Linked DNA regions of Nothobranchius furzeri. The protein of the gene in region 2 purifies or fractionates together with the protein of the main gene of each other region. This does not show direct contact. Links are inferred from orthologs where the notes say so. Each region holds a gene or a part of one and is shown on either strand. Other genes may lie near its edges. The genes, in order: ccnf and cdc6.

The links.
Region 1: the proteins of cdc6 (region 2) and ccnf purify together in Homo sapiens (affinity purification with western blotting; 4 studies listed by BioGRID and IntAct, with this or other methods). This does not show direct contact. The link is inferred for Nothobranchius furzeri from reciprocal best matches to the Homo sapiens genes CDC6 and CCNF.

The regions. Positions count from the first base shown.
Region 1 is NC_091752.1:57,970,086-57,974,430, reverse strand, and holds the start of ccnf (cyclin-F), read right to left. Parts: upstream 3,104-4,345; 5' UTR 2,872-3,103; coding exon 2,859-2,871; intron 1,832-2,858; coding exon 1,677-1,831; intron 1,585-1,676; coding exon 1,478-1,584; intron 1,403-1,477; coding exon 1,335-1,402; intron 1,179-1,334; coding exon 982-1,178; intron 783-981; coding exon 729-782; intron 435-728; coding exon 330-434; intron 193-329; coding exon 115-192; intron 1-114. UniProt on the Homo sapiens protein: Substrate recognition component of a SCF (SKP1-CUL1-F-box protein) E3 ubiquitin-protein ligase complex which mediates the ubiquitination and subsequent proteasomal degradation of target proteins.
Region 2 is NC_091747.1:65,968,966-65,973,339, reverse strand, and holds the start of cdc6 (cell division control protein 6 homolog), read left to right. Parts: upstream 1-1,477; 5' UTR 1,478-1,628; coding exon 1,629-1,836; intron 1,837-1,903; coding exon 1,904-2,161; intron 2,162-2,231; coding exon 2,232-2,431; intron 2,432-3,248; coding exon 3,249-3,397; intron 3,398-3,835; coding exon 3,836-3,942; intron 3,943-4,374. UniProt on the Homo sapiens protein: Involved in the initiation of DNA replication. Also participates in checkpoint controls that ensure DNA replication is completed before mitosis is initiated.

The DNA.
Region 1 (4,345 bases), on a different chromosome or scaffold from region 2:
AGGCCTTAAATTTGGAAAAGCAAATTTAAGACTTTTTAAGGACCTGCAGATACCCTGCACAAGGAACTGAAGCAACGGGCCAGTTAGAAGTGTAACACACACACACACACACACCTGTGCCTCCCAGCATCCTTTACCAGCATAGTCTCTGAGGGTTCGTACACACTGCAGGTACCTTCCTGGGTCTGAGATCTGAAATCCAAATTATATCCATTTATAAATCATGCATTAGACTCCAAGTGGTTGATTTAGCAGCTGCTTTCTCAAAGGCAACACCAAACGCGTGTTCCACGAGGGACACGAAGGCAGAAAGAAAGAACGACGCTCACAGCTGCTTTGCGGCTGTTCTCCCACAGCAGATAAGAACTCAGCAGACAGCCGGCCTGAGACGACTCCTCCAGCAGAGATACAGCGTTGGAGCGTCGCCCCTCGTCCTGGGAAAGACAGATGGTTATAACCACAGAATGTTTTGCTCTTACATTTGTAAGAAAGCAGTGAAATAACAGTCTGATAGATATGATTTCAGCAAATTATGAAACCTCACAAGTCTAAAGCATCAATCAGCAAAACTCGTAAAAGCTTTGGGGGACTGATTAAGAGTAGGCCAATCGTAAAGAGGAACATGGCTGGGGACACGTCACGTGACAACACACGGATTTACATTTTTACTCAACGGTAATAGAAACCGAGCAAGCCACACCCAGAAAGTCAAATTCAGTCTCACTCACTTCAAAAAGAAGCAAAACTCTGGCCAAACAGTGCAACAAGGGTCCCTTCTTCTCCTGCAGGGAAAGAAAAAAAACAAGCGTTTCAGTTCCCAGTGCTCCTCTCATGGGTTATGCAGGGGGAAAGCAGAAGCTCATGTTCTGTTTGGAGCTTTAAACCTTCCTAGATCCATACGCGGCTCGAGCTCAATGCAACGGACAAACACAGCTTTATTCTGTGGCTTCTCATCACTGATCTGGCGGCAGCAGAACCTACCATGTTGCCATCGCACTCAGCCTTGAGGCGATCAAACACCACGGCCTTGCAGCAGCTGCCAGTGGGCGACCATGGTGGACGGATGAACACCCAAGTGAAGGGATCGGTTTTGGGGGAGCGGAGACTCTCAGCCAAACTGAAGAAGTGGGAGGCTTTTCGACCACACACATCTGCTCGCCCCTCATCGCTCAGCAACGCTGAAGGCAGGAAAGAAGGCCAGAGTGAAGGGTCGTAACCATTTATCAAGAGGGTTTGTGTCTCTGACATTAAAATGACACTGCTGTGGTGCTTTGAGCAGAAATTTACTACATTCTGAAAAGAATAAGAAGAAAAAAATAACTGTTTTAACTTACGTCCTTCATTGTACAAATAAGCAATTCCAAGTTTCACAGCAGCTTCAAAATTCCCCTTTTCAGCAGCTCTGAAGTGAGAATTTTATATTAATTTCAGTAAACAAAAGCAAGTATTTTGTTGTATTTGTCAGAAGGAACCGTACCTTTCAAACAGCCACAAGGTGTCGGGGGACGGCCACTTGTCTCTGAAACTGACCCTGGCCCACACACTCGAGTGGTTGTCAACAGTGTCCCGCAGCTGGGAGTGAACCTACAACAGAAACCTGGATAACTAATCCCTGAACAAGAAACACGACAGAAGAGGCTGTCAGACGTTTTGTGATGGGATTTACGTTCACTCACCGCTCTTACTGACAGCAGATCCTCAGCAGAGAGACACTGAAGCACACATAGAACGACTTCCTCAGGCAGGGAGAGCAAAGTTAAGTCTGGGGATCGTTGACGGACTCGCTTCCGTGTCGGAACAGAGTAGCATTTTGAACACCGGCAGTGGACGACTGGAAAATAGAGGAAAAAATACTCAAATCACAAAATTAACACACTTTTAGAGTCAAATACTTTTTAGGTGTGTACACAGGAAAATCAGTAAAGGTCTCGGTGCAAAGCTGGAGATGTAATTCTCACTGTAACGCAAAATGAACATTTGCATTTAATTAATTCTAACACACGAGTCAGGATGTTAGGCTTTCTTTGATTTATATGATTTGACACTTTCAGTTACTATTAATTTCCTGGGTTGTGAGTCTGCCACAAAGAAAATTAATGTAAAACTACATTTGTAAAATTTAAGTATAAAAACCCAAGTTTGTACAAAATACAGTTGAAACTAATATCATTTAGAATCTGAATTGAGCTTTAACTCAACCAACACCATAAATTATTGTTTCTTTTTTGCATGATAGGTATGAGCATAATTCGACATTTTAAAATAATATTTTAAGAAGTATTTATTTGCATAGTTTAGAGATAAATGATAATCTCGTAGTAGTTTTCCATCGTAGTTTTCCTACTTACTCCACAGTTTAATCATGCCTACTAAAATAACTCCACATGTTCCTCAACACGTTAAACCACATGTTGATCAAATGTAGACGAAGAAAAAGCCTAAATGAACACAAACAACCATATTTGAGCTGTTTGGGGAAATCGAACAGTGGTGAAATCTTAACAGATGATGTCAAACCAACTGAGCGCCCAAATTTCCCTCCTGTGGGTTCAATAAAGTACCGTTACGACCAGATCTCGTTCATCCACACCTAACTACATATCATCTGACACCAACCACGAATATTAGTGCTACAATTCCTAAATGAGCCGTGGGTGTGTTAGATGTATATTGAAGCTTTTGAGCTAAATGGTACACCAAGTTCCTGTTGGGATCCATCACTGCACTAGCTAACGCCTGAGCTGACAAGTACCTAGCAATCGGTTTGAGACCAAACACACACTCCTAAACACTCATTTCATACCAAATTATTCCCATTCGTCTATTCTGAGTGGGTAAAGCGGAAGAAAGTTACTTACCGCCCGCTTTCATTGCAAGTAGCTTTCCTTTTGCGCAGAAGCCTGTAGCAGCAACACGGAGGAGCCGTTTTAACGCAGTGTTAATGCAAGTTAAGGCAGGCAGGCTACACCGAGCACCGTTTGGAGTGAATTAGAGGCTAAACAGTGTTAAAGTTAATGTTGAGTTTGTGCGGCTGACTAATAACTCAACATCAAGTTGTCTGAATTCAAATTCATGCACGAGTCCGGACAAGGCTCCGCCTTAAACTATGTAGGACCGCCCGCGCGCACGGTTTAAACTCTACAAAGAAGTTGATTGGTAGAGAGCAACATCGTCAGCGCGTGACACTACAAGCTTATGATTGGACAATAGGAATAGAGGCAACACAGATTGGTCTGACACCTTGAACTATGAAATAACCGAAGCTCATTGGAGGATGTAATGCCATTTCGAAGTACGCGCTCGTCTGTGTGCTCTTACGATTGGTTGACTCGATTGCGTGTGTCCGCCTTGTTGAAAAGGCGTGTGGGAAATGTAGTTAAATGGAAAAGTGGCGTTTAAAGGTACATAATTTAAAGGGACATGCCCCCAATGATCCGTCCAAGGGGGAGTCAGGGTTGGAGAAAAGTGCAGTTACTTGACCCGGTGACACATTTACTTTGTTTCTTTTAAACATTCTAAAGCAAATGATTTTTTTTCTCTCTAAAAGATCAAAGGTTTACTCTGTGTCACTCAGAATGATTTATTTTTTATAATAACTGTAATAAAGTATCTCGGTGAGAATATTATCAGAGAGATGTCACCAATGCACAGCAGAATCCAGAAATTATGATAATGCCTTGTTCATGGGTCACACACTAAGACCAACATAAGATAGATGGGAAGCAATAAAGTAACAGGTTGGTTTGGGTTTGAGGAAGCTTCCTCTGAGGAAATCACATAATTAAGACCTTTTTGTTGCATCCCTATTGACAATAAATAGAGAGCTCTCTCAGCCAAATAGCATCCTCTTGATTGTTGGTCTTTTGAAAGGGGTCATAAAGAAGCAGACTACATCTGGGAGTATTCGTTTGTTCCTTTCAGGCTCTCTATTGATCTGTAACATGTTCATTTAGTCTCATCATCACGAAAAAGATCAGGAGCTTCACATTAATTTTAAAAAATAATTTTTTTTTACAACTTTAAAATGTTTTTCCCAGTAACGTCCCAAAGCACACAATAAACAATCAGCCACCTTTGTTTATCAAATTGAACTTACTCACATGACAGTGAATAAAGCAAATAAATTAAATGCCTTTTTATTTTCTCACTGGGGATTGCAAAGTCTTGCTCTGCTGAACAACGAAGGTCCAGAGCAATCACATTATCTTGTAGCTGACAGAGTGACCTCAGTCAGGGCAAGGGCTTTGACATCCTCAACTAGATGCACCGTTTCCATAGAAACTCCAACCCAGCTCAACTATTTTCCCAGTAAAAGCACAAAGTGAATAGCAAGGGACACGCCACT
Region 2 (4,374 bases):
CAAAATTTTAAACACGCCAGAAGTCCGTGCGACCTCACGACTGCTGATCGGCAGCTGGTCACGTGGTGTTAATCGCCTCTCGTAACCCCCCGTACACGACCGCTCGGCGCTAAACTCGCCCCGATGTCGTGGATTCTCGCACGACTGGAAAATCGGCTCAAAAAAGTGAAAAAGTTGCATAGTGTACACCCGGCTTAATGGGGGTTTCACATCTGGTACCGATCGGCCCGGCCTGCATTGAACATATTGTTTTCATCCCTGGGTGATCTGGTACTTGCCCCCTCCTACCAGGCGGGTTTTTGGCCCTTAACCTCTGGTGGTCTGCTCAGGGCTGGGCCAGGCCAACATGCCCACTACGACTGACTGGCCGGCTCAAATACCAACCTGCCGTTAGAGGGAGCTTCTGATTGGTGGATAGAATCAACCAACAGTGTGAATAAACCCTACTGGTGTGGGACCGGACCGACGCTACCCAGCCCGGTCCGTGCTAGCCCAGATGCGAAACGCCTAATGGAGACAGTTTTTTTCCCAACAGTAGTTTCTTCATCTCTTTCCTTTGGGCAGCTGATGCAGACGATGGGAGTGTAGCATGAATACGCAGCTCAGAGTGACCAATCGTGAATCGAATAGAACCATTATTGCTGTTGGAGCTATATTTCTGCAGCTGTCACCTCGCTAGACTGTTCCATACATACTTTATTATTATAACTGGTTAATTATTCTACAGAATGAATAAAAAGGTGTTAGGCTCATGTGCTATGGTGGTGGAATTCTGTTAGGGTTAGGGTTACACGTGTCTAGTTTCTCTGGACATTTTCCTGTTAATATTCATGAGGTAACGCTCATCCTGGCTTCACTGATGCTGCTGATTCCAATCGTGTGATCTGACAGTCAGAGCAGATCAGAGCTCTTGTTGTCAGATTAATATCATCTTGGCTGATGAAACATTTCTAGTGAGTGCAAATGATCCTGTTCAGTCTCTGTTGTGTTCCAGCCACCTGGAGACAGTCAGGGACAGGGGACACCTCCGTGTGTGTGTGTGTGTGTGTGTGTGTGTGTGTGTGTGTGTGTGTGTGTGTGTGTGTGTGTGTGTGTGTGTGTGTGTGTGTGTGTGTGTGTGTGTGTGTGTGTGTGTGTGTGTGTGTGTGTGTAAACATGAATGTACACTGTTCTGTGTTCATGTAAACACACACTGATCTGCTATGAAACCGTCTCATCCAATCACCTCTCAGACGGATGAGCTAAGCTGGACTCACCTGTTCAGGTGGGACCTTCCTTGTTCTGCTCTTCCTACCCATTTCTCGATGGCTAAAACTCAAACAAAAGTATTTCCCGCCGTTACCAAACGCGCCCTTTGCGTAACTTCCGCCCGCAGCACCGAACCAATGAGGTTGCGAAAAGTGTTGCGTTGACCAATCCAAGAGCAGCAGCGGATGACGCAGCTGGTAAAGAAGACGTTTTGGCGCTAGTTTGGACTCGGTTACCGGTAGAGAAGCCCGTCCTCGAGAGGAGCTGACCGAGCGCAGGTGAGCGTTGATCCGGGTTGGTTCGGGTTAACCTGACCGGGTTACCAACCCCTCCTTTACTCTGAGAGTCCTGCAAGGCGAGCTAACGCTAAAGCTGCTAGGATGCCTAGCACCCGCTCCCAGGCTCGAGCTCAGCCCACGCTGACGTTCCCACGACGCAAGTCCTGCCGAGCGCCTTTAAAACCCCCCAAACCTCCAGGGTCTGCGTCCCAGGACGTCCTTCCGCCTCCAAGCCCACCCAGGCCCGTGTCTCCGAGGCAGTCTCCCGCCCTGCAGCCCCGACTCCCCCTGAGCCCGCGCAAACGCACAGGTGAGTCTGCAGCGCTGGTCAGGAGTTGTCTCCATGAAGGTGTTGACTTGTGTTTATCTCTGTAAAGGTGATGAGAACGGCTGCAACCTCCACACCCTGCAGGCGTCCCCTCCCAAACAGAAAAAGACGTCTCTGTCCTCCCAGAGGAAGCTAGGTTTCAATGAGAACTCTCCAGTCGTGGTCCATCAAACATCAGACCCATCTTCTGAAAAACCACGCTGTCCAACCACCACTTCGTCCACTAGGAGACCAGAAACGCCCACCGGAAGTCCCTTGCGTGGCACTGGAGGAAAGAAGACCCCAGTCACTCAGCTGTTTGCAGAAAGTAAGATGGTTTCAGCAAGTTACGAGTTTCTTAGGAACCAAAGTGCTACAATCATTGTTTTTCTCCTCAGAGTCCAAGTTCCAGAGCGTGAAGCAGGTGCTCCACACATCCATCCCTGAACACATCTTGTCCAGAGAGGCGGAGCAGACGTCCATCCGCTCCTTCCTGCAGGAGACGGTCCTGCAGCGCCGTCCTGGAAGCCTCTATATTTCAGGAGCTCCTGGGACTGGCAAGACGGCCTGCCTGAGCTGTGTCCTGAAGGACATGAAGGTGAGCTGGACATGCTTTAGCGCTGTCTGCAGTAGGGCTACTCCATCATGGCTTTATCAGGGCGATCAGAAGAAGATCAGAACAACTCCTGGTTCCTCGTGTAACAGAGCCAGTAGGCTGAGCTTTAACCCTAACCCAATTCTGATGGCAAGAGTCTAAACATGCATGTTGTAGTGAACTTCCATAACCTGCTGCGGTACTGAGTCCTGTCCAGCGGCGCTGTGGGAGAGTGCAGCACTAGTCTGTTGCTCTGAGATGAATCAGCGTTAGAAACGTATTCCTAAACCATTTATTTCCAGGTTCCATCAGTCCATGTAGTAGATGTCCCACCCTGCAGAGGTGCACTGCAGCACACACACTACAATCAGGAGTGTGTGTGTGTGTGTGTGTGTGTGTTGCACGGGCACATTTAGCCGTTTCACCAGGAGCCTGCGGGGACAGGAGTCTCTGAGAGCCGTCTCTACGTTGTTCCCTTTCCTAATGTCCAGAAGGACGGTCCTGAGTGCAGGCTGTGACCTGCAGGTATCCAGGAATGTTCCTAGGTGGTTTCTGGGTAGCTTAGAGAAGAAAGTGGAGGAATGGTCTGAAAGGTTGTTAGAAACGGCCACAAAGCTGCTAAAATTTGGCAACGCTGCTGGGAGGTGCGCTTGATTTGCAACTCGGAGTAAACCATGAGAGAGGAGCAAATCATCGGCTCGTTTTGTTGTTCCAATGGTTCAAAACTCTGATAGTAATTGTGATTAAAATGTGATTTATTGAGCAGCCCTGTCTACACAGATGTCGTCATCTCCTCACCTAGCTGTTGTTGTCCCATCAGGCTGAGCTGTCGTCGGTTCTGACGGTTCTGGTGAACTGTATGAGTCTGCGAAGCGCCCACTCCATCTTCCCTCTGCTGGCTGACAAACTGAAAGTGCTCAGCGGCCAGAGGGGTCTGCAGAAGTTCTTCACATCGTCGGGGCCTGCTGTGTGAGTGACCTTCATGCTGCCTGGTTTTCATGGACCTGACTTGCTCGTCTAGGAATGGGCAGTGTCAGACATTCTTCATAAATGTTCATATTATTTCAAACAAAATACTGAACGACCCGCAGAGACGGTGTTCTGAAACATAAGCTTGTGTGTTATGAGGGTTAGGGTTATGAGGGGTACAAGGACTCACGTCATCCATCTATCAGCAGTAACAGCTACACGTCACAAATGTCTTCAGGAACCTTTAGTTCTAATTCGTGTAAACTCGATGGTTCATGTTGTACAAGAATCAATACACTTTATGCATTTAATCTGCTGATGAATTTATGTACAATTTCTCAAGGCAGCTCTGGGAGTTGACTTGAATGAAAAGTATAGATGTAAGTTTTGGCCCATATGGCCCAGCCCTAGGCTCATGCGTGTGTCTTCTCTTCTAAGGCTTCTGGTTTTGGATGAAATGGACCAGCTGGACAGCAAGGCTCAGGACGTCCTCTACACCCTTTTTGAGTGGCCACACCTGCCCAGTTCTCGTCTCTGTCTCATTGGTAAGAGTTCGTCCCGCACGGTGTCTCGGCTGCTCTGTAGTAATGACGGTATTATTGGTTTACGGTAGAAAGTACACAAATGCAGTCACTGGTAGGGATTCTGACTACACAGGCAACGGCTGCTGGGGTGGTGCTTTAAGACAAGTTAACATTGGGTTAGGGCTGCTCAATGAATCGAATTTTAATCACGATTACGATCTGAGTTTTGAACGATTATAAAAACAAAACAAGCTGATTATTTGCTCCTCCCACCTACGCTGCTTGAGTTGCAAATGAAGCGCTCCTCCACAGTGTTGCCAACTTAGCGACTTTGTCGCTATTTCTAGCAGCTTCAGACCCCCTTCTTGACTTTTTAAATCTAAAAGTACCTAGCGAACATCTCAGAAACATCTCTCGTAACCCTTAGCTACTTTCTGGATAACTGTCGTCGAC